4 linked regions of the Caenorhabditis elegans genome follow. The protein of the gene in region 1 purifies or fractionates together with the protein of each later gene. This does not show direct contact. Each region holds a gene or a part of one and is shown in the gene's direction. Other genes may lie near its edges.

Region 1 (5,835 bases):
AAAAGGTTTTTTGGTACGAAAGTATTTTGAAAAATTAATTTTTGTCAAAAAAATAGTTTGTTACTTGTAGTCCGTAATTCGTATTATGTAGAATATAGGTTGTAGTTTGTAGTCTGCAGATTGTAGTTTGTAGTTTGTATATTGTAGTTTGTAGTTTGTAGCTTGTAGAAAGGATTAGATATTTCTGTTTTTTTTTCGTATAAATAGAAAGTCACTACATCCAGCTTTAGGGTTTCATAAGATCTTCAGGCGTACGCGCCTACTTTTTGCCTGCCTGCCTACGTGCTCTCCATTGTGACTTCTTGTTTAGCGCAGATTTCAAATATTTGTGTTAAGTATAAAATGTTCGATTACAAACTGAGAGTATGAACACACGATGGCAGACGTAGGCATGTAGGCAAGCGTGCCTACAAAGAAGACCTGCCATAATTAATTCAACTTCCAGAAACCCCATTTGGTCAGCTCCCAGTACTCAACGTTGATGGCTTCGACATCCCCCAATCTGCTGCAATTTGTCGATACCTTGCCAAGAAATTTGGTTATGCCGGAAAAACTCCAGAAGAAGAAGCGTGGGCGGACGCCGTTGTCGACCAATTCAAAGACTTCTCCGTTGCTTTTAAAACACTCCTTTTTGCCACAAGGGCCGGGAAACCAGAAGAAGAAATCCTCAAAATCCGCTACGAGATTTTCAATCCAGCTCGAGATGTCTACTTTATTCTTCTCAATCGAATTCTCAAAAAGAGCAAGTCAGGTTATTTAGTTGGTGATGGGCTCACATGGGCTGATCTAGTTATAGCTGATAATTTGCACAGTCTGGAGAAGCTTCGAGCCATCGATGATGATGATGAAGGACATCAGAATTTGAAAAAGTATAAGGAGAAAATCTATGGAACCCCAGATTTGGAGGATCATATTGCGACGAGAATGGATACAGAAGTCTAAATTTTGAATCGCGTTGAATTTTTAAAAACTGTGATAAAAGATAATAAACATATTGTAGTATTTTATGCGGATATTTTTTTACCGAAATACTTTTTTTTGAAATAATAGTGCGAGAAGTGCAACAGGGCTCCATATGATTTTTCAGTACTTTTGAATTTTTGAAAAAAACAGCTTTTGATGTATTTTCTGAACTTTTTAAAATAATCTTCCGTACAAGTTAGCAAATTTTATTTAATATTTTTTGGTATATTTTATCATGCTAAACAGTTTTATAAAAGAAAAATGAAGCACTTCATATGATTTTTCAGTACTTTTGAATTTTTGAAAAAAAAACAGCTTTTGATGCATTTTCTGAATTTTTCAAAAATTTTTCCAATTTTCTGACTTTTTGTTTTGTGACCAGTGTTTCTTCGCAAAAACACAAACCACTCTTCTATTTCTCTATTTCTCTCACTCTCCCTCCCCTCAATTTCGGAGATTTTCGAAACGACTTTGTGTATATAAAGTACTACTCAATCATCTCCCATCAACAAACAATGCCACAATACAAGCTCTACTATTTCAACCTTCGTGGATGGGCTGAGCCGGCTCGGCAGCTCTTCAAGCTGGCTCACGTCGAGTTTGAGGATGTTCGTATTGAGAATGGAACTCCAGAGTGGGGAGCGTTGAAGCCAAGTGAGTTTTTGAAACATTTTTAGTGGTATTTGTATAACTGTCACGGATTTTGAGAATTTTTTAAAAATCAGATACGGTGGTCCACTCTAAGCCTAAGCCTATGCCTCGGCCTATGACTATACCTAAGCCTAAGCGAAAGCCTAAACCTAAGCCTAAGTCTGAATCCCAACCCAGGAATCTTCCAGAAACCCCATTTGGTCAGCTCCCATTCCTCTCAGTCGATGGCTTCGAAATCCCCCAATCCGCTGCAATTCTCCGCTACCTTGCCAAAAAATTCGGCTACGCTGGAAAAACATCAGAGGAAGAAGCGTGGGTGGATGCAATCGTAGATCAATTCAAAGACTTCGTCACCCCACTACGCCAACTCATCATGGCTCAAAGATCCGGAAATGCGGAGGAAATCGAGCGAATCCAAAAGGAGGTCTTCGCGCCGGCCCGGGATACATTCTTCAAAATTCTTAATGGAATTCTTGAGAAGAGCAAGTCAGGATTCCTAGTCGGAGATGGTGTAACTTGGGCTGATCTGGTGATAGCTGATATTTTGACAACTATGGAGATGCTGGGAGTGTTTGATAAGCACGGAGAGGAGCAGAAGCTTGCAGCGCTCCGTGAGAAGGTTAATGAGATACCGGAGATCAAGGAGCACAACTCGTCGAGACCAGATTCTGTTGTTTGATATATTATGTGTATGTTAATAAAGATTATTATATCATAATGAGTGATTCTAAGGTAGGTAGGCACGCTTTCAGGCTGCCTACCACCTAAAAAAGATGGTTTTGACAGTAGGCAGTAGATCAAACGTATGTCTGTTAGAAGGCAAGTTATCTAGGCACGAGGCAGGTGTAGTTTGCCTTGAAGGCAAGCGGGCAGTCTGTGGCCTACGTAAAGGGTCTAACATAGACAGTAGGCATGGGTGTAGGCACAAAGAAGGCGTAAGTCACACCTGGGGAGTTTGCGATCAAAAGAAACATCCTGCCGTCAAATAAACCTATGCCTGGCTGCATGCCTTCCATACAAGCCTGACTAAATGCCTGCAAGGTAACCTATGTTTATCTGCATACCTACAAGACTGCCTATGCCTGCCTGCAAGCCTATGAAACTTTTGAACTTTTCGACAGAGATCATTCTAGAAATCCCATATTTTCGAACAAAAAAGTCATGTTTGTCATCATTTTTCCTACAAAAGACCATGAATCGTCGCCGCCATATCCAATTACAAATAAATCGAATTATCTTCTGAGATCAATATCAAGATGGCAGTGACCTCCCCGCCGCCATCGCATAAACCACGTTGTTTCCCCCCGTCGGGAAAAGAGAAAAGAGACGGAGACACGTGGCATGGGAAGTATAAAAGGGCGGACAGGGGGACACTGGCAGACGACTATCAGTTGTGTGTTGACTGTCTGTGATTGTGCTTGCTCTTTTGTACGATGGCCGAGTACAAGTTCTATTATTTTAACGGACGAGGATTGGGAGATGTTTCTAGACAGGTTAGTGTGGTGGCCTAGAAAATTGAATTGGTGGCCGAGTTTTTTCTAAAACTCGGTAACGTAGCAAATCACGGCACGATCAGCACGAAAATGTTATTTTTACGATTTTTCGACATTTTCAACGTGGCCTAGAAATCAAGGAAACTCGGCCACTTGTCCAAAGTGAGTACGTTTTTTTTTGTTGAAAATCCGCAACCTAGGAAGTTTTTCGGCTAAAACCATGACATAGAATACTGCTGGCCGAATTTTAGCTTTTTCTAGGCCACTTTGCTTCCAGGCCACCACGTGGTGTCAGGCTGTCCTATTACGGTTTGATCTACAATAAATGTGGGAATAAATTTTTTTTGCCCAAAAAAATGTGACGTTAGCACGTTCTTAACCATTAAAAATGCGTCCAAATTCCCGCGATTCTCGTAGATCTGCGTAGATCAAACCGAAATGGGACACTATGACACCACTTGGGCCGCGTTTGCAACAGTACTCGGTCTCGACACGGCAATTTTTGATAAATGAAAAAAGGTGTGCGCCTTCAAAGAGTCGATTTGTTAAAATGTTAGTGTTTTTTCGCAAAACAATGTGAAAAATCGATGAAAATACTACCGCCTGTTTCCAGTTACAGTACTCTTTACAGGTGCACGCCTTTTCGCAATCCACGTGGTGTCAGAGTGTCTCATTTTGTCTTGATCTACGTAGATCTACAAAAAATGCGGGAAGTTGAGACGCAGAGTTCTCAACTGATTTTGCATGGTTAAGAACGTGCTGACGTCACATTTTTTCGGGCGAAAAATTCCCCCGTATTTTTTGTAGATCAAACCGTAATTAACACATTGGCGCAAAAATCGCAAAATTTCCAGCTCTTCGCCCTATCCGGCACCAAATACGAGGATATCCGCATTGAGCATGCAGACTGGCCAGCTCAAAAACCCAAAATGCCCTTTGGCCAAATGCCCGTGCTCGAGCTCAGTTCGGGACTCCAAATCCCACAATCCATGGCGATCGCCAGGTACCTCGCCAAAAAATTCGGCTATGCCGGAAAAACCGACGAGGAGGCAGCGCTCGCCGACGCCCTCATCGATCAGTTCAAGGATTTCTACGCGGAGATCAAGCCATACTATTACGCGAAAATCGGCGTTCTTCAGAATGACACCGAAGAGGAGAAGAAGAAGACGCTGATTCCAGCTAGAGACAAGTTCCTGACGATTATCGGGAAGTTCCTGAAGCTTAGCATCTCCGGATTCTTGTTCTCCGGCGGACTTACCTATGCTGATTTGATGATTTGTGATAATATGAGAACCCTAATCGCGTGGTGGCCGGAATACTTGAACGAGTACCCAGACATCAAGGCCTGGTACCAGAAAGTCGATGGAATCCCGGAGATTCGCAAGCATCTTGAATCGAGCCCGGATAAGGGATTCTAATCATTTTCTGAATATTCTGATTTTTTCGCTTTGGCCAATGGAGCAAATAAATTTGTGTGTACTTTTCCTTCCCATCAGACATAAATCGGAAAGACAAACATATTTTAAACTGTTCGAAAAGCATCAAAAACCACATTTCTTGTTAATTTTTTGTCGCACGCCGTCTTTCTGAAAAAATATGCTCAATATGATTTTTTCCGGCAAATCGGCAAATTACCGGAATTTAAATTTACGGCAAATCGGCAAATTGGTATCCGGCAAACGGCAAACCGGAAATATTATATTCCGACAATTTGCCAATTCACCGGAAACTTCAATTCCCGCACTGTGCCGGTTTGCTGAAAATAATCAATTTCGGAAATTTTCCTATTTGCCGGAAATATTCAATTCCGGCAATTTGCCGATTTGCCGGAAATTTTCAATTCCGGCAATTTGCCGATGTTCCGGAAATATTTACCGTATTTCTTCTATTAATATGGCTGCAATACTATTTTTCGATGGCCTTACCGCTTGCAATACTAATAGGGAGTGCAAGACTAATAGGGAGTGCAATATTAATTTTCAGAACATTTTTCTGACTTTGAGCTTACAATTTTTTGCTGAAAAACTAGTTTCTTATGTGAAAATTCAGAAAATTTGATTGTAATTGCAACAAAAAGGTACAATAACTTCAATTTCATAGAAATTTTACCAATAATTGTTGCAAAATAGGCAACAAATGTTGTTTAAATCTCAAAATTAGTGAGGTGGGTTTGTACCAAAAAAAAGTAGGCAAACCCTCATTAACTAATAGTCTCATTTACCAAATCACTCGTTTACGTAAGTGGCTCATTTACTTCGACGTCTATTTTACTAGCAATTTCACTTTCTCTCGTTTACTGAAAAAGAGTTCATTTACTTCAAGGTCTAATTTACTCATTTTTTACTCTCAGTCATTTACTAAGAAATAGTTCATTTACTTTGAACTCAGATTTACTAACTTGCTGACATTTTCTAATTTACTACTGTTATGGTATATTTTTACATTTATGCAGTTTCAACATATGATGTTTCTTAGAGATTTCATTTAAAAAATACCGTGCGATATCCTAAAATGAATTCGTTTTTTGAACATGGTAGTTCTACTGTACCAAAATTTTTTACTTAATATTGTTTTCAGAACAAACTAGAAAAACAACGACATTCGCACGTTTTTTTGGCAAACACTCTTTGACTACCTTCTCTTTGACTACCTTTTGCTCTTTGACTACCTTTCGGCTCTTTGACTACCTTTTGCTCTTTGACTACCTTTCGGCTCTTTGACTACCTTT
Region 2 (6,521 bases), 610 kb from region 1:
TACGGTAAGAAACCTTTTTTGAGCAAATTTTCTATTTTTTTCCAATTTAAGTCTCCAGTTAAACTTCAATCCAACATTTTCAGATGGAAACCACATGGCGAATAAAATGCGTCATCTTCCTGGTTGGGTACTTCTGTGCCATATCAACGCCTATAACGTACCCATATTTTACAGCACATTGCTCCCCATATGGTAAGGTTTTTTGGTATTGTTTGGTCTAAGTGATTTGAAAATCAAATTTTGAACTTTCATGAAAGGCAGGCACGTTTTCAGGCGCAGGTATCTAGCACAAGCCTGCCTACCTACATGCCTACTTAGTGATTTTTAATTGCTTCTAAGCTTTGAAAAGTTCTAGATATTATCCTAATTGATTTATTCACTCATACTTTAGCAGTGTGGGCACTAGACAGGCATAGGCCGCATGGAAAGTAGGCAGGCAACATTTGTGTATGCCTATATGAAAAGATTTTGAAAAACTCTGTAAAATTATGTATTACAACTTACTCTGCGTTTGAAACCAATTTCTAATCCATGTCTCCCTGGCCTCTAATAATAAAAGTTTTGATCAGAAAAAAAATGGTAGGCAGGCACGGACACGTGCCTACCTTAGAGTAAAATCTTGTAAAATTATAAAACTCTAAGCTATATGTAGAACCTTCCAAGCTTTCAAGCTTTTAAGCCTCCCTGAAAAATTCCAAATTTCAAACCATAAAAATTTCAGCCTACAACCTCTTCTCGCTTGCTGAACTAATTGAAGTTGGCTGTAATTCCTTGTTCTATTCAATCGCCTACTTTGAATTCCCCAAAACTCGCATCACAATCGGAATCAAAAGTGTGCAGCGCAATCTCAACGAGCTTGACAAGTCAGTGACGAAAATGGCTCCAGCATTACCTCGGAAGGATTTCGTCTAAACTTTTTATTTTTTCTGTAGATTTTAAACCTCGATTTCAACGGGTTCCCCAATCCAGTGTTTGTACATATAGTTTACAATTTTACAATCAGTGAATAAAAACGTGTAATTTGTATTAAAAAATATTTTATATTTTGAGAAGAGAATGAGTTGGAACAACAAAAATAATCTGACGTGGATATATCCAAATAAATGGAAATAAAATGTATTTCCAAAGTTTTCACAATTCGAGGAGGATGTCTAACCTCACTTTCGTCAGAAATAGCTATTGTGAGTTTTGAAAAAAGTTACAAATTATGGAGCCACTACTGCTCGACTTGGAGCCAAAACTCCTGGACTTCAACATCTTAAACCTTGGATTTTCAGATCCTCAAAATGGCCCGTACAGTGATGGATTGAGTGAGCTTGTCCACAATATCTCATACTCTAACAGTTCTGAAAATTGTAGGTGTTGTGACTGGTCAAGTTCAGGAGACAGTTGACGTTTTTATGGCTATTATCCTGGTCATGATTGTCATTTTTCTAGCTGTTCATGTGAGTTTCTGGCTACAAGATTATTGTGTTGTGGAATATGAAAATGCCTGCCTACTTGCCTACGCCTTCGACGCCTGAGCAGGAATTTTTGTTTTTGAGATATTTTGAACTACAATTTATCGTTTTTCTACGTTTTTCATATCCAAAAGTTCTTGTTCCTTTTTTAAACAATTGCAGGCACGTACTGTAGGCACATAGGCTAGCGTTTCTCATGCACACAAAAAAATTTTACCAAAAATCTATCTAATTCTCTCTTTTCCAGCTCTTCATTCGATTCCACTACAAGGCAAAAACCGAGTATGCCCTCAACGAGCTGCGGGAGAAATTCGACAAAAACCCCAATGGTTCATCTGCATTTGCTCTGCCAAAGGATCCGAAAAAGGCAGGTGATTCTGCTCCAAAACCAGTTGAGATTTTGATGGAGCCGGAGCAACTTGCTCCGATGGTTCACTACATTGCAATGGCGCCACCTGGAAAAGCGGAGCAGCCGAACAAGAATGTCTTCTACAATGCGAATCCGTGAAAGCTCAGAAGTGAACTCGATGTCTAGTTTTTATTTTATTTTTTGTTTATTCTAGTGTTTTTCTGTTGTAAACTATGGATGTGTAATAAATGACTTTGGAGGCTGAAAACAGCCATAACCATGAGAAAAGTTGGAATCCTGAAAAATCTAGGGCGGGGGAGACTGCCAATTTCAGAGACGTTTTGACAAATTTAGCGATTTTCTGTTTTTCTTCATGATCTAAAATTTGTCATTTTCCAACTCTTACTAATCTCCGAGTTCGAATCTCGTACAAGATTACAACTACAAGCTTCTACCAGCAACTGAGCTCATGTGGTTCATAGCTTCAGCAACCCGTGAGACGTCGGCCCGTCCAAGACAACTGAAAGAATAGTCTTGCAGCCGACACTTTCCGGGTTCAAATACTAATTTAGAAACCTGTAAATCTTAATTTTTGGAGCGCCTCTAGCAGCCGACATCTTGCTGGTTTCTGAAAAAAAAAACAAGATTTCAAAAGCTGAAATTAGCTTGCAAGCCAAAATTTCAACTTTTGTGCCCACGAGTCTATTCAGATCAAACCATCTTCCCCTCACATTAATGTTCGAAAACTGATCACTGCTGTTTGCCCGTCTGCGTCTCTCCTCTCTCCTCCATTCCACTTGTTTTCTTCTCTATTTCTCCACGTGTTTGTACATAAACGTGATAATAATTATTGTTGGCGCGATTTATTTATTGAATTTAAAAATTAAATTCTTTAAATAAAAACCTTACGAATCAATTTATTTCTCGATTTCATTGCGTTTACGACATTTTATTTGTGAGTTTTTGTTGGCACGTGGCAATTGTTTTATACTTTTCTTTTTTTCAGCAAAATGAGTGCAAGTCTGGCACGTGGAATACTGAGCAAGATGGGCGGCTCATGCTGTCCTCACCATGCCCCAGCTACAAATCCATTCAAACTTGCAAAGCTTCATGGAAATAACAGTTAGTTTTTTACCCGAGCAGGCACGCAGGTAGGCGTGCCTGCCTGAAAACTTTCTAAAAAACCAATATTTTCAGAGTCAACAGATTACGCGTTCGAGATGGTGTGCTCAACTCTTCGTTTCGGAAAAGGAGTCACGTTGGAGGTTTGCTAGCAATATCACACATCACTAACTCAACTGTGAACTTTATCAGATTGGATACGACGTCCGTAATCTCGGAGCAAAGAAAACGTTGCTTATCACTGATAAGAATGTGCAGAATACGATCGCTTTTAAGTGAGTTATAGGAAAGCTTTAAAGCTCTAAAATTATTCAACAGACAAATTTTAGAAACGCCGAGCAAGCCTTAAAAATGGTGAATATCGAGTATGAGGTGTTTGATGATGTGCTCATTGAGCCAACCGTCAACAGTATGCAGAAAGCAATCGCATTTGCCAAATCGAAGCAATTCGATAGTTTCATCGCTGTTGGTGGAGGATCTGTGATCGACACGACGAAGGCTGCAGCTCTATATGCTTCTAATCCAGAAGCGGACTTCCTCGACTTTGTTGGACCACCATTCGGAAAATCCATGCAACCAAAGAACCCAATGCTCCCATTGATCGCTGTGCCAACAACTGCTGGAACTGGATCCGAGACTACCGCGGCTGCAATCATGGATCTTCCAGAGCACAAGTGCAAGACTGGAATCAGACTTCGTTGCATCAAGCCGTACTTGGCAGTTGTGGATCCGTTGAATGTGATGAGTATGCCTCGAAACGTGGCAATCTATTCTGGTTTCGATGTTCTCTGTCACGCGTTGGAAAGCTTCACAGCTTTGCCATTCGATCAAAGATCTCCACGCCCTGAGAATCCAGGAGTTCGTCCACTTTATCAAGGTTCCAACCCGATCAGTGATGTCTGGAGTAAAGAGGCTTTGAGAGTGAGTTGGAATTTCAACCATGAAGCTCTAAATGAATTTATATAATTTCAGATCATTGGAAAATACTTCCGCCGTTCTATCTTCGATCCAACCGACGAAGAAGCTCGTACAGAAATGCTCAAGGCTAGTTCATTTGCTGGGATTGGATTCGGAAACGCTGGGGTTCATCTTTGCCACGGACTCTCCTACCCAATCAGCTCCCAGGCGAAAAGCTGTGTGGCTGATGATTATCCAAAGGAGAAGAACTTGATTCCACATGGACTCTCTGTAATGACAACCGCAGTGGCTGATTTCGAGTTTACAACTGCCGCGTGCCCAGATAGACATTTGATTTCTGCACAGACTCTTGGTGCAGATATTCCGGTATGTAAATTGGCCACCAAGATGGTTCTGAACTAACTAGATATTTCCAGAACAATGCCAGCAATGAGTACATTTCCCGAACTCTTTGTGATCGGCTGAGAGGTTATATGCGAGACTTTGGAGTTCCAAATGGACTGAAAGGAATGGGATTCGAATTTTCTGATATTGGTAGAACACCTCTCTCTAGTTGAACTGCCTTATATTATACTATTTTCAGAAATGCTTACTGAAGCAGCCAGCCACTCCGTCCCAAATATTGCAATCTCTCCAAAGTCTGCGGATCGTGAAATTATCAGCACTCTGTACGAGAAGTCCCTTACGGTTTATTAGTCATTTTTCTTATTGTACTTATTTTATTATTGGTTGTACCATATACGTTATTGTTTCTTATGTTCAATGTAAATGTATTTAGAATAAATAAAGAAACAGAAACAGAAACAAAACAATGGCGCCAGGTGTCACCAGAATAATTAGAATCCTTCACCCCCCCCCCCCGTTTTTCTTCAAGGAACCGTTTAAATATTGCCGGCTTACTGTACTAATTAGGGATGACTAGAGGCGGGGAAGAACGAAGAAACATTACTACGCGACACGCAAACAATCGTAGGAATGTCCTTTGAAGCGCGGCGTGCCGGCATATTTGAATTTTGTTGCTGAAAGCTTTTTGGCCTTGGCTGTTATCAAGGATCTATGTATGTTTTGAGAGAATTGTCGAGAATAGCAGGATTTTGGAGACCAGGTACGGCGATACACTGGGTTCTTTTGGAAATTTGGCATATTTTAAGGTTGAATTTTTTTAGGAATTCGTTGGCAAAATGGTCAATTTTCATATCTCATTATCATTAATGTCATCACGAACTTTTCTAACATTAAACTTAACAAATAATTTTAAAATTTCTATATTTTTGAAAACAAAACTTAGATTTTGAGACTTTGCTAAAAATTTAAAAAAATATTTTTATGGCTTTTAAAATATTTGAAAAATTGATAAGAAGGTTTTTTTCCAATAAATTTTTTACAACTTTTGAAAAATTTGAAAATCTATAACAGATTGGCAATTTTTAATTGTAGGTGTTCTGGCTTGTAAGAAAAACTTTCTCCAGGCTGTCCCATCACGTTTTGATCTACAAAAATGCGGGAATTTTTAACCCAGAAAAATGTGACGTCATCACGCTCTTAGCCATGCAAATCCAGTTCAGAAGTCTACGTCTAAATTCCCGCAATTACGTAGATCAAACCGACATGGGACACACTGACGCCACGTGTTTCTCCAGTTCTAGACAAGTTCCAGATGAAAACTAAGCGGTTTTCCGATTTTCAAGCACAATTTGGAGATTTTAGATAACTTTGCTTTTTGTCTATTATTACAGAAATTGCCGATTTGCTGGAAAAAATTCAATTTCGTCACAAGAAACAAATTTTTTTGCACTGTTTTATAAAAAAAGGGGCCCGTCCACCTGCTTCACATATCTCTGATCTTCTACTAGCGCAAGCTCAACGTCATCAACAGATGCTAATAATGTATGTTGCGCTTATGGTCAAGATTTGAATAAGTGCTCGCTTCACGAGCTTGCAGTTTGACGCAACTCTAGAAGTGGGGGTCTGTGTGACGTCACAACCTCGAAGGGTCAAACAACGTCATATGGTGATTCCGGGTAAATAGTGAAATATATGTTTGGTGGTTGTGGGGAATCTTTATTATTTCACAAATAGAAAAAAGTAATCATCGAAACAGCGAGAATTTTTGTACAATACAAGTAATTTCAATGGTCATCAGAATTGGGTGTAGGAAGCGAATTGAGCAAGAGGGATCTGGAAAAAAGATGAAAGAAGCAAGTGGGAATTCTAGTATAGAAATGATTAATTTTTGGGAGGAGGCTTGGGCAGGATTTGACTAATCACAAACGAAGTCGTGGATGTGACAAGAACCAGGAAGCAGTTGGAATTTCATAGGAAAATCCAACAAAAGGTTCGAGCACATCCGAACTCTCGGAGAGGGGGAGGGAGGTGGAAATAACTTAGAATAAATGTTTTAATATATATATATATTATTTTTTTCAGAATAATAAGAATAATAAACTGGAAGATTTGTTGGGAACACCGGTTTAAAAATTAAAGTTTAGGAAATAATGCAAAAGCTACATAGAAAATGGAAGACTGGATGTGTTTTGAGATTTTTTGGGATTTGGTTTCGAATCGACATAGAAGCTAAACAATGCATAAAATAATGGGTAACAAATGTTCATAAAGTCTTGAAGATCTTCGGCGGCGTCGAGTCCTCCTCAAACCAGTCTGTGCTCCGACGA
Region 3 (4,595 bases), on another chromosome or scaffold:
AACACTCTTGGAGAAAACATCCTCCCATTCTCCCAAAACCCACAGAAGCAGTGAATAATTATCGAGTTATAATGGTGAATAGATTTGTAATGGATTATTGTAATTTCTTGTGGACTTTAACCTAAAGTTGCCAACTTCATATTTTATTGGTGATAGAGTTATAAACACTGATAACGAATTCTTTGTATTTTCAAATCGCAACACATTGAACCAAACCACAAAGTACTGATAAGAAGAATGAGAAGGAGAAAGATCATAAAATTGTTTGTCAGCAATATGCCGGTTCCGCCTCTTTTGGTTTGCTGATATGGAATACATGGCAGAATTAGTTGGTATTCAGTCAGAACGGAGTGTGATGTCTATTCAAAGGTTATATTGAATCAGAAACCTTTTTTAGTTTTAAAATAAACTTATAAACCGAGACAAACCCTGAAAGATTTCAACTCGAGTATGAGAAATGGGCGGGGGGAAGGGATTAGAAGAAACGAAGTGAAAATAAAGTGACTCGAGTTCAATTAGACCGGGGTATGTGAAGATCAAAAAAGTGAGTAACAGGATTTAACAGAGAAGTTTTATTTACCAAAGAAGTCACCTACAGTAACACCAAAATTGTTGGGTATCAACGTGTATTGACCCACGACGTGGCTAAAAAGATCGTACAACGTGAACTCTATGAACTAGCTTATTTATTCCTTAGTTTAATGTAATAATAAACTACTCGTCTTCGCCTCCTCGTTCTGCCTCAATACATAACAATCTGCCTCAATACATTAAGTTGTCTCTGAGCACAAATAGGCCGATATATTTCCAAACGCAATACGTTTTTTAAAAATCATATTTGTATTACTTACTTGCGTACATAATGTAAAACGTCTCACACGGTTAATGTCTCTACTACGTATTAGGTGTAGGCACCGGTAGGCACTCTGGTAAGGAATAGAATTCCTGATTCGATATGATGTTCTTCAAAAATGTATTTTATTTTATAGGGCCCGCTCAGAAAACTTCAGAAAGTGTAAATCACTTCTAGTGGACTGTTTTTGAGCTCAGGGTTTAGAATTCAAGTTTGATTGGTACGCATGAAAAATTATATTAGATAAATTACAATAAATTTATTGAAACTTTTAAAGAAAATCTATTGATAAGAATTATTGACTGAAAATTTAAACATCATGTCTATAGAAGTCAGTAGTCGATGTTCCACTCTTGGATACAAATTGAACTTCTTTCTCGAGAACCTTGATTACTGTAGTTTGGGCATGGTCTTCTACTCTCAAAGTGTGTTTTTTCCAATCAGCCCCATCTGGATGTCCACTACGCCAAGCTTCACCGAGAATACGAACCTTTCCATCAACCACTCCATTCTTATCGTCTACTGTAAATTAATTCCTTCAAAACTATCAAAATATAAGTTAACTTACAGTTTGTCTCAATCTGTTTGATTCCATGAACCTTCCAATTATCAGTACCAGTTGTAAATGGTCCAGTGTTGTAGTGAACTTTCTCCAGAATTTGGGCACTTTGGTTTGGCTCCAATTTCACCCATTTTGAAGCTTCCAATGCATTGCCGGTATACTGATGAAGCACTTGGAACTTGAACACATGGTCACTTTTGTTCTCAATATCCACTTTGGCCCATTGTTCTGTCACACCTGATGGTTCGTCGCTTGCCATTTCTTGAAACGTTGAAGAGAATCGACTCACTTGAGTTTCGATTGATTTCGTGTATTTCCAACTGACTTTAAAAAGCAGTTCAAGTGGGTGGAGTTAAGCACATTACTTGTCAATAGATAATGTTTCAATACTGATATAAAACCTTTGGTCTATGCTTATCTGTCATTACTTTGTGTTCTTTGTCATTTTCAAGCAACGTGTCTGCGGTTTTGACGTCAAGAAACCAAAGGTGTACCAAAAGAAAGCACAACTTTATGATCAATTTTCATGATCATAGTTCATGCTACATGAAACTAACAGGCAAACTGTTCAATTTCATGTTCTTTATCAATTTCACAAACAATCAAACCACAAAAATAGTCAAAGAGAGAAGATCACTTGCATTCCTTATCAATAACTCCACCTCCTCGTTTAGTTTAAAATGGTTACCGTATCAACTGATAATTCAGATCGTTTCTTGACTGAAAACTGATCATGTCGACTGATCCAACTCCACCACAACTCACGAGACGCACTGCAAAGGTTTCAATTGATAATCAGACTGGAAGTCACTTCAAGTTTCAAGTGACACATAAATACACTGGATGGGATGCGGATAAGTCTGATGTTGTGATGTTCCAGCCTGATGAAGTCAAGGAAATCTTCAAAAGTGTCGCCTATAACACTGGATTCTTGACAACTGGAGTTGACAATTGGCTAGTGGATGGTACGATGGTTCAGGAGAGAACTGGTTTGTGGAGTTTTATCTTTTGAGAATAAAGAACTTGAAATTTCAGAAGTGGATAACAAAGGTCACCAAATCGGAAAGAAATCCTACATAGAGCATGCGAAATTCATCAGTGACTCGAGATCATGGAAGCAGCATATGCTAACAGCTGAAGATGACGGAAAAACTACCACGATCCGTGTTTTCCCAACCGAAATTCACTTCATCTCTCCAAGTGGGGAATCGACTACCACTTTCACTAAATATTGATTTCATGTTTTATTTGTAGTTACTTTGAGTTTCTGTTTGAGCAGCGATATTCTTCGTAGGAGTACTTTTCTTAAGCTTTTTTTTTTGAAATAAAATTCATTCTCAAAACTATTTCCAAGCAAAGCTAATTTTTGATTGAAGCTAGATAATTGTCATCAACAGTAATTGTAGAATTTTAGCTTTTTCTGTATTAGGAAATCTACCGTTTCAACCTTTTATACACTTTTCTATCTTTCCACTATGTCCAATTTCTTTTTACAAATATAACAAATATACGACAGCGCAAATGGGAACTAGGACTTGCACTCGTGACTCCCAGGTTGCGAACGGCCACCACAACCGACTGAGCTATCCCGACCCAGGTGCATATTTTCGAATGGCTAAATATTTTCAAATTACTGAACGAATGTTGTCAGTGAAAATTGTCTATTAATTTGGCTGAAAAATATTTTTATAAAAATACAAAATCAGGTCAGGTATTCAGATCAGTCTCAAACTTGATTCAATCGAGCCAATGAATAAAATAGTTGACTGAAAATCATTCCTGAGAACTTTGTAAAAAAATTACATTATCAAGTTCAAGTAGTTTAAAGTTTGAAACATTTCCAAAAAGTGCAGGTTTTATTTTTTGAACAAAAAAATAATCTGGTAAATTCAGTACTAATTGGAAAAATCATGAGACAAATTGATTTTTTTTAATCTTACGAAAAATCGATTTTGAACTTCATTTAGAAAACAGACTCATAATATTCCACATTTGACTTTTTCAGATGTTTTCAATTTTTAAGCAAAACTGCCAAGTTTGATATTTTTTAATGAGTTTTGAAAAGATAAAATCGGTCTCTTTTTTGCATTGGTCTGGATCTTCGCGATTTAGAGATATTTTTAACATTAGATGATAAACTTGAAGAACAAGGTTGCTCCGACATGTGGCGTACAAATGAACACATGCTTTTTCTCATTTTACTCCTAATTCTAACCAAGCATGAACTTCTTGTTGATACTGACCCTAATTTCTATTATAGTGCGGAGTAGACAAGAGGTAAGTAATCACAAAAAGAAACAAAAAAAATACTGAAAATTTAGAATTTTCCGGTATTATCAAATTGAATCTACTTAAGTTCGAACACTAATTGACAGTGATTTTTTTTTTGAAAATGACTTATTCAAAAAATCAAGAATATAGAGATCCCGGTTTGTTCAATTTTTTAAAAAACCGTCAAAATTTTCGACATTTTTTGGTTTCCCATTTTTTGTTTCAAGTTTCAAGACTTTAACCTAGAATTTGTCGATATTCAGGAAGACTTTGCTAAATAAACTACAAACTACAAAATGTATTCAGAATGCTAGTATGGATCCTTGCAACGACTTCTATGATTATGTGTGCACAAATGACACCAGAAGTATCACTAAGCTTAACTTCGCAAGTTTATTCGATGATCGAGAGATATTGGTAGTTTGCTTCCTGCCATTTATCCTATAGTACCCAGCAATTTTTCAGAAACCGAACATCTCATTTCCGAATAACGGGACCTACATCGCATTAGATCAGATTCTTGAGCCGGATCGCTTGATGAAATGGTATATGACGGTTAAATCACTGGATACGGCCACCGTGGATTTAGAATATTTTTTCGAGACGCATTACGAATATATTAGCAAAAAGAACGATTCGGAGAAATTCAGTTTTGCGGTGGAGACCCTGGAAAACGTTAATCTAACGGTAAATATTTATTTTCAGGACAAGTAATGGTGAAGCATATCTTGCTAATACCCTATTTGTTCTATTTTATCACATAGTTTTTCCAGTTGACAAATATTTTCTACAATTCTCTCTACGCCAATATCAAGGTCCTCAACCAGCTTAATCTTCCAGCCGCCGAAGAAAATAAATTTCTTCATCATATTTCCAATCTATTGAAAAATAATACTATCGAGGAGATTT
Region 4 (7,444 bases), on another chromosome or scaffold:
AAAACAAGAAATCTGAATTTATCCGAATAAAAAATGGAGCGATGTATTTGAGAGGCAACAAGAAATTGAAAGATAGTGTGTCGAGAAGAGAGACAGTGAGAAAAAGAGGGTAAATGGGCGAATACGCGCGGGAGGTGTGAGGGTTCGTGTTTGGCCTCCAATACCGATACGCACATTTTGTTGAGAGAAATGCAAGAGAAATGGGAAGAAAAAGGAGAACATAGATAAGAAATGACACGTGGCATGGTTCTTCTGCCTTGATCTATTGGATTATTTTATAGGCGAAACATTCTCGGAAACAACAAAACTCGACCTGATTTAGCTTAACGAAACAAAATATTCTGGAAAATTTACAAAGTGCTGTGATAAAAATATATTCCAAAAATTAATTGCTTACTGATTTTTAAATATTAATATTTTGAGGATAAATTTTCTGGAATTTTGTTTTTAAAAAAAGTATCCTTTCAAATAAGATGTCAAAAACTAAATATTTGAAAAACACTATTAGGTGATTGACAACGTATCCAGAGAGATTATTTTATATTAAAAGGAGTATAAGCTCAGCATATGGACTCAGCGCTCTTTGAAACTGAAATAGACACATGACACGGATTTTCTTTTGATTGCAGAAATTTTTTAACTGTTCAATATAAAGTATAAAAGATAGTTCTAATGAGCATTTCGTGAAGGGGATCGATTGACAAGTTATGTTTTGTCTAGTTCGTTTCGCAATAAAATTTGCTTCAACCTAAATAATTTCGATGGATTATTTTTTGAATAAAAATATAAATGTCATTTTCCGAAGGAACGAACATGAATCTGAACGAGAAGAGCAAGAGAACGAAGAGAATATTGGCGCGCCGGCCGGGCACCAATACTGACACGTTTTTTGTGCGAAGCGGGGCGATATTTATGCTTATGCAAATATTTTTTGGGTCTTCTTGTGGTTTTTCTTGGTTTTTGAGGCTTTGCGCGCATTTTTTCGTCAATGCCGATTTGTAGTAGAAGTAAGGAAAGTTTTGAAAAGTTCTTAAAATTTTTAATAGGTTCATGAGCCCTGAAAACGCAATATGAAAAAAATTATATACGATTTTTACAGCGATTTGAGAAGATTATTTAACAAGAAATAATGAAAAAATTGAATAAATGATAAGCATTGCTCAGGAAATTGATTAATACATAAGAAAATGTTTGAAAAACAAAAAAACAATACCGTATGAAGTTTAAAGGCACATGACCGCTTGGCATTAGGTCTCACATCGATTAGAATAAATTTTTAAAGGCGCACGACTTTTATTGTTGGGTCTTACAGCGAAACTGTGTATTTTTTTAAAACTTTTTGACCCAGATGTTGTTTCTCATTTTTATGCTCCATTTTCCGTCTTTTTTTTTTGTTTTTCTTTTCATCTTTGGTAAAATTGTTATAAAATGGATTTTAAATAATTAATTATATTCAATGAAAAATTATATTCAATGAAAAAGCAGTAAAACATCGTGTCACATACGACGTAGATTAGGAAAAATAACGGGAAATGGCGGGATAAAGCTTCAAATGCCGATCCCCTTGGGATTAATCTGAAAATCTCTGTTCTTTTTCTTGTTCTTCTCTTCTCATGGTAAACTTTAATATAATTGAAAGGTTTTATGCTGCTAAATAACGGCAAAAGACTGAAAAATGAGAGCACGATGGAGACAATTTTAAAAGAGAGAAACGGCGGAGTTGTTTCGGGAAATTTGATGGAATATGTTGTTTGATCGAAAAAGAAAAGCGCTCGCTGCTCAAGCTGTCTGAATTTATGAGCACGCACCTTTTTTGGAATTCATTTTTATTGAATATAAACTGAAAAGTCGGTTAGGAAACATCTAGAAAATATCATCTGTAGAAAAGATGATTTTATATTGAAGAGCAAAAAAGTGACACAGAGGCGTTGCGAAAACAAAATATAAATAAATGTGCACTCGTGACTCGGTTTCCCTTTTCTGGGCAGAAAATTGGGTGGAAAGAACTTTGTGATATGAGAATTGGTCTTTAATTTATGATCAGTGGGGGTTTATTTTTCTGATGTTCCTCCGTAATATTACTCAAGGCTAATACTAAATGTTAGGAAACGTTTCAAGAAAATCTTTGTCTTGTAATCTACCACACCAACGAAGCTTTTCTCGTTTTCCTGTATATTTTTTGTTGACGCTGAAGATGGTTTTTAATTATTTGTTTTATTTCTAAAAGTTCGACATCATTTCTTCAACGAATTTTTTTCGAATTTCTACAATCGTTATCTAATTTGATCGAAATTTGACTTTTAATCTCCAACGGAATTGTGTTCAATGGACCGTTTCTTCAATGCCACGTGACTTTGAACTGTCAATCCTTATTTTCCTAGATCACAATAGACCTCCATCATCATTTTTCTCTCGAAAACCAAAAAAACCAGTTTCAAAAATCGAGCCATTGGCACGTAGTCCTCTGTCGGTTTATTTCGTTCCTCCCAATATTTCTCTCCCTCTCTTCAGTCTCTCTTGTTGTTTTTCAGTCCCTTCCTCCATCTCGGGGCCCCTTTCTTTCTCGTTCTTCAGCATTACATCGTAAAGAATAAACAAGGTGCCTCATCTGAAGAACAAGACCTGCCTTTTTTCGTTTTTTAAATTGATTGAAACTTCAAAGCGGCCATGATTCTTGGTTTCTTTTTATATTGCCAAAAAATAATGTTTATCCTTTTTTGTTTATAAAAAAGCTAAATATTGAGGTTTTTCCAAATTTCTGAATAACTTAATTTGTACTTCTTTTTACAAACATATTTAACTCGCATCTATTGATTATTTTTCTAAACATTTTAGCCATTTTTAAAATATTTTCAAGCTCTACTAATTGTTCTCTAAATTATTCTCTTTCACAAAAAAAGTTTTGTGTTTTTTGTGATCTTTGTTTCCAGCACATTTTTCTATTTTTAATCTTCTTTTTTTGCCCAATCAATGTGTGAAATTGTCGATAAGAGACAATAATTTGTTTCAGCAGCTTGTGCGAAAAACTTCATCGATCGCCTGTTCTCTCTTCCACTCTCAACACTTCGCTTTTTTATTGGTAAGTTCTAGAAAATTGAACTCGTGAAGTATTGGATGCTGAGAAAGTATTTTGGACTGTTTGGACAACATAAAATAGATGTTTAGATTTTCCTATTTAAAGTCGGGATTTTCCAAAAAAAAAACGTCTGCGAAAAAACTTCTACATAAGTTGGTTAGGCTCTCTGTAGAAAGTGGATAAGATGAAGGAATTAGAAAACTTAATTTCGTTAAATTGTTATATTTGTGATTATCTCGAATTTTGATTCTTTCAAACTTCTGTTTTAAATTTGCTCTACCGAAAATTATTACCAATTTTCGGATTTTTCGTTGTTTAACAATTCTTAATAACGCCTATTTTGCTAAACGCTGGAACACGTGTGAGACGGAAAATCAAGACAAGAACAATGAAAAAATGAGATAGAAAACAGATAGAACCGAGAGAAAAACAGAAAAGAATTAGATGCACTTGGCATTTGTTTGCCCCTTTTCCCCGCCTTCCGACTATGAAAAGCTTTTTTTCTACCAGTTAATCTCTTTGATATCAAGATTTCTACTTATTTATTGGAAACTAAATGTAATTTTTGTACGTAAATCCGGTGTCACATTTTTTTAAGTTTAAAATTTTGTGCTGCGGGATAGAGTTTGAAAAAAACGGAGAAAAGGGAAAATGTTATTATAATATATTACAATACGGCTTTTTTTTAAATGTTCACCTATATTTACTGTTTTCTGAAACTGTATTTTCTGCATTGTTTGCTCATTAAGTTCAAACTATCAACTTATTGCTTTTTGCGCGCACTCAGCTCGTCCTCAACCAACAAACACACGCGGCCTAAAGTTAGGTTCGTGCAAACGGTAGAACATTCTGAGTACTTACTGTCTCTCTCACTCGTGGACGTTATCAATCACACCCAGTTATCACTGTCTATCCTTCTATCCTCATATACATTTCTTTTAAATTAGTTGCAATTGAAATGATATCTTTTCAATTCACTTGTTATATCTCGATCTTTTAATTTTACAGCATGCGAACCGTACAAGCAATTTCCGGACTCGTCACAAGTCGCTTTTTCGGCACATCCACTAGAATCATGGCTAGCGGAAAGGTGAGCATTTATTAATTTGCAAAATGTGTCAGGAATCAGATGGACACTGAATAGCAAAATTTCAGAAATGTTAAAAGTTGTTACAATATTGGCAATTTTAATCGTTTTCGAAATAGTTGTGTATTTTTTGAACAAAGTATTTTTAAAAATTCAATTTCAGACTTTGAACACCTCCAACATCAATCCAAATGTTATCAAGATGGAGTATGCTGTTCGTGGACCAATCGTGATCCGTGCCGTGGAGCTTGAAAAAGAGCTTGCGACCGGTGCTCAGAAGCCATTCCCAAATGTCATCAAGGCTAATATTGGAGATGCTCATGCTATGGGTCAAAAGCCGATTACTTTCATTCGCCAGCTCCTCGCGTGTATTGTCAACCCAGAGATCATGAAAACGGACAAATCAATTCCATCTGATGTTATCGAACATGCAAATGCATTCCTTGGAAGTTGTGGAGGAAAATCCGCTGGAGCATACAGTCAGAGTACGGGAGTGGAAATTGTACGAAAACACGTGGCAGAGTATATTAAGAGACGTGATGGAGGAATTCCATGCAATTCAGAAGATGTCTGCTTGTCTGGAGGAGCTTCTGAATCAATCCGAAATGTTCTCAAACTTTTTATCAATCATAACAACGCAAAGAAAGTCGGAGTCATGATTCCAATTCCACAATATCCACTCTATTCTGCCACTATCGAAGAATTCGGACTTGGACAAGTTGGATACTATTTGAGTGAATCGTCTAATTGGTCCATGGATGAAGCTGAACTTGAAAGATCTTTCAATGATCACTGCAAAGAATACGATATTCGAGTTTTGTGTATCATCAATCCAGGAAATCCTACCGGACAAGCACTTTCTCGTGAAAATATTGAGACTATCATCAAGTTTGCACAAAAGAAGAACCTGTTCCTTATGGCTGATGAGGTTTATCAAGTAAGTTTTCGATAAAAATTTACACTCGATAATTTTCCACTATTTTCAATTAAAATTATTTTAAATCATAAACCATATTTTTTAATGAGGAAAATCACACTTTTCTATTAAAATAATGAGATTTAAAATATCATCTTCAGGACAACGTCTACGCTCAAGGATCGCAATTCCATTCATTCAAGAAGGTTCTTGTGGAGATGGGAGAGCCATACAATAAGTGAGCTTTTTTTCCTAAGCAGTTAAAAAACTCATAATATTAATTTGCAGAATGGAATTGGCTTCTTTCCATTCGGTATCCAAAGGATACATGGGAGAATGCGGAATGCGTGGAGGATATGTTGAATTCTTGAATCTCGACCCAGAAGTGTATGTCCTTTTCAAAAAAATGATCTCTGCCAAATTGTGCTCCACAGTACTCGGACAAGCCGTCATTGATGCCGTTGTGAATCCACCAAAGGAAGGAGATGCATCGTATGCTCTGTGGAAACAAGAAAAGGATGCAGTACTTGCTTCTCTTAAGGAACGTGCTACACTCGTCGAGAAGGCATACAGTAGCATTGATGGAATCAGCTGTAATCCAGTTCAAGGAGCCATGTACGCTTTCCCGCAAATCACGATTCCACAGAGAGCTGTTGAAAAAGCTCAGTCTTTGAACCAACAACCTGATTTCTTCTATGCTATGCAACTTCTTGAGACCACCGGAATCTGTATCGTGCCAGGAAGTGGATTTGGACAAAAAGACGGAACTTATCATTTCAGGTTTGTGATACTCTAATTCACATTTAATACAATAAATCTAGATTCATTGTTGGTAAATTCAATTTTTTCAGAACGACAATTCTTCCACAGCCAGAACTCTTCAAAGACATGCTCTCCCGGTTCACTGATTTCCACCAAAAATTCCTTGCCGAATACAAGTAGACTTTGAACAATGTCTAATATTCTTCTTTTCTCAATTTTCTCAGCTTTTTTTCTTCTATGTCACTTTTTGTTTCATAGCCAATATGATAGGGTCTAAATGCGTTTACTGTGTAGATTCGATTAATTTTAATTATTGCATTGATGAATTTTAACATTCTTTTTTTTGTAGAAGACTATACTGCCACTTTCACCTGACAAACAATAGGACCTCAGACAGTTTCTGGCACACTCTTATTGATGGATTCCCAAAATACAAGGTCTTTGTCCAGAACCGCCGTTCAACACAATGTGCATTCCACTCGATCCAATTGAGCAGATTCTAATTCACCTAAACGGAGGCCCAATCTGTGACAGTTTATGACCAAATATTCTGTTGCACAAACGTTACATAATCAGGTCAATCTGCCTGCACACACACAATGTTGCCGACTGACGTAACACAGAATGATAGTTTATTGGAGGAAAACAAATGGGCTCTCGAGATAACTGGAGTAGATTACGCAGTTTTGAAATATCGCAGTATTCTTCACTGTCTATCTAAAATCTTATAAAACCAAAAATTACCTCCAAATGGGTTTCTTGGAAAACTACATGGTTCGGAAAATTCGGAATTGTTTGGTATTTTCAATTTATTTTTGAAATTTTCATACACTATTTCCAATTCTTAGTTGGAAAAATTGTTGTTAACAAATTTAAATGTTTTTTTTTGTTGAAAAGTCTTAAAATTTCAAAAAAATATCAAACAATACATATATTTTGCGAAATTTTCGAATTACTTACTTAAGTTTAGAAACGGTTTTGAATACTGAATTCTAGAATATTTCCAGCAATGATTCTCGTCACTAAATGTTTTCTCATTAGCTAAATTAAAATTGACAGCTCGGCCGTTGATGATCCCTTCTGAAAAGAATCAAGATTAGATAACCCCAATCGTTGTCTATTTTCAGAATAAATCGATATTTATAGTTTGACCTTTCCCTTCTGTCAGAATGTATTCGACCATCTGTGCTAAATTGGGGATGGATTAAAGATCCTTCATTAACCTCTATATTACTGTACTATTATAGTATTCTCTGACACATAGCCTCTCTATAGATAGGGGTTACAGAAATGAAATGTTACCCCAAAAGAGGGTTATGAGCATAGAGTTCCAGCAAAAGAATTGACCTACAAAGAACCAAACTTGGCGGCTAATTAATGTTTTGAAAAATTATGACGTCACACTATTGCTTAGATTTCAGCCATGTACTGATTTAATCACAAACATAATCTAGATATAATCTATCAAATTTCTATTCTGACTGTGTGTGTCTTTCAGAAAACCTTTAAATTTCACTTTCCGGAAGAGATGTACAACTATTTTCACTTACAGCAATACTTTTTGGTCGATATATTCCAGCTACAATGACGAAATGTTTTTGGA

Evidence for each region.
Region 2: the proteins of gst-20 (region 1) and hphd-1 fractionate together in Caenorhabditis elegans (co-fractionation; one large-scale study listed by BioGRID). This does not show direct contact.
Region 3: the proteins of gst-20 (region 1) and pud-1.2 fractionate together in Caenorhabditis elegans (co-fractionation; one large-scale study listed by BioGRID). This does not show direct contact.
Region 4: the proteins of gst-20 (region 1) and C32F10.8 fractionate together in Caenorhabditis elegans (co-fractionation; one large-scale study listed by BioGRID). This does not show direct contact.

What each region holds. Positions count from the first base shown.
Region 1 is NC_003280.10:13,606,938-13,612,772, reverse strand, and holds gst-20 (glutathione transferase), read left to right. Parts: upstream 1-2,948; 5' UTR 2,949-3,047; coding exon 3,048-3,107; intron 3,108-3,961; coding exon 3,962-4,525; 3' UTR 4,526-4,619; downstream 4,620-5,835. Other genes in the region: gst-15 (glutathione transferase), read left to right, coding at 446-942; gst-24 (glutathione transferase), read left to right, coding at 1,479-1,617, 1,803-2,293.
Region 2 is NC_003280.10:12,992,491-12,999,011, reverse strand, and holds hphd-1 (Hydroxyacid-oxoacid transhydrogenase, mitochondrial), read left to right. Parts: upstream 1-2,667; 5' UTR 2,668-2,764; intron 2,765-2,815; 5' UTR 2,816-2,819; coding exon 2,820-2,931; intron 2,932-3,006; coding exon 3,007-3,074; intron 3,075-3,123; coding exon 3,124-3,206; intron 3,207-3,260; coding exon 3,261-3,852; intron 3,853-3,903; coding exon 3,904-4,215; intron 4,216-4,265; coding exon 4,266-4,383; intron 4,384-4,432; coding exon 4,433-4,545; 3' UTR 4,546-4,650; downstream 4,651-6,521. Other genes in the region: Y38F1A.8 (Serpentine Receptor, class T), read left to right, coding at 1-4, 84-192, 722-912; Y38F1A.7 (uncharacterized protein), read left to right, coding at 1,208-1,310, 1,360-1,445, 1,708-1,968; cyd-1 (G1/S-specific cyclin-D), read right to left, coding at 6,458-6,521. UniProt on the Caenorhabditis elegans protein: Catalyzes the cofactor-independent reversible oxidation of gamma-hydroxybutyrate (GHB) to succinic semialdehyde (SSA) coupled to reduction of 2-ketoglutarate (2-KG) to D-2-hydroxyglutarate (D-2-HG).
Region 3 is NC_003283.11:2,320,093-2,324,687, reverse strand, and holds pud-1.2 (Up-regulated in Daf-2 domain-containing protein), read left to right. Parts: upstream 1-2,121; 5' UTR 2,122-2,148; coding exon 2,149-2,404; intron 2,405-2,450; coding exon 2,451-2,650; downstream 2,651-4,595. Other genes in the region: pud-3 (Up-regulated in Daf-2 domain-containing protein), read left to right, coding at 1-54; pud-2.2 (Up-regulated in Daf-2 domain-containing protein), read right to left, coding at 1,164-1,375, 1,422-1,674; Y19D10B.6 (Peptidase_M13 domain-containing protein), read left to right, coding at 3,636-3,692, 3,993-4,103, 4,152-4,373, 4,460-4,595.
Region 4 is NC_003279.8:5,821,715-5,829,158, reverse strand, and holds C32F10.8 (alanine transaminase), read left to right. Parts: upstream 1-3,010; 5' UTR 3,011-3,079; intron 3,080-3,270; exon of another isoform or gene 3,271-3,439; intron 3,440-4,084; 5' UTR 4,085-4,085; coding exon 4,086-4,166; intron 4,167-4,326; coding exon 4,327-5,100; intron 5,101-5,240; coding exon 5,241-5,317; intron 5,318-5,367; coding exon 5,368-5,859; intron 5,860-5,930; coding exon 5,931-6,021; 3' UTR 6,022-6,177; downstream 6,178-7,444.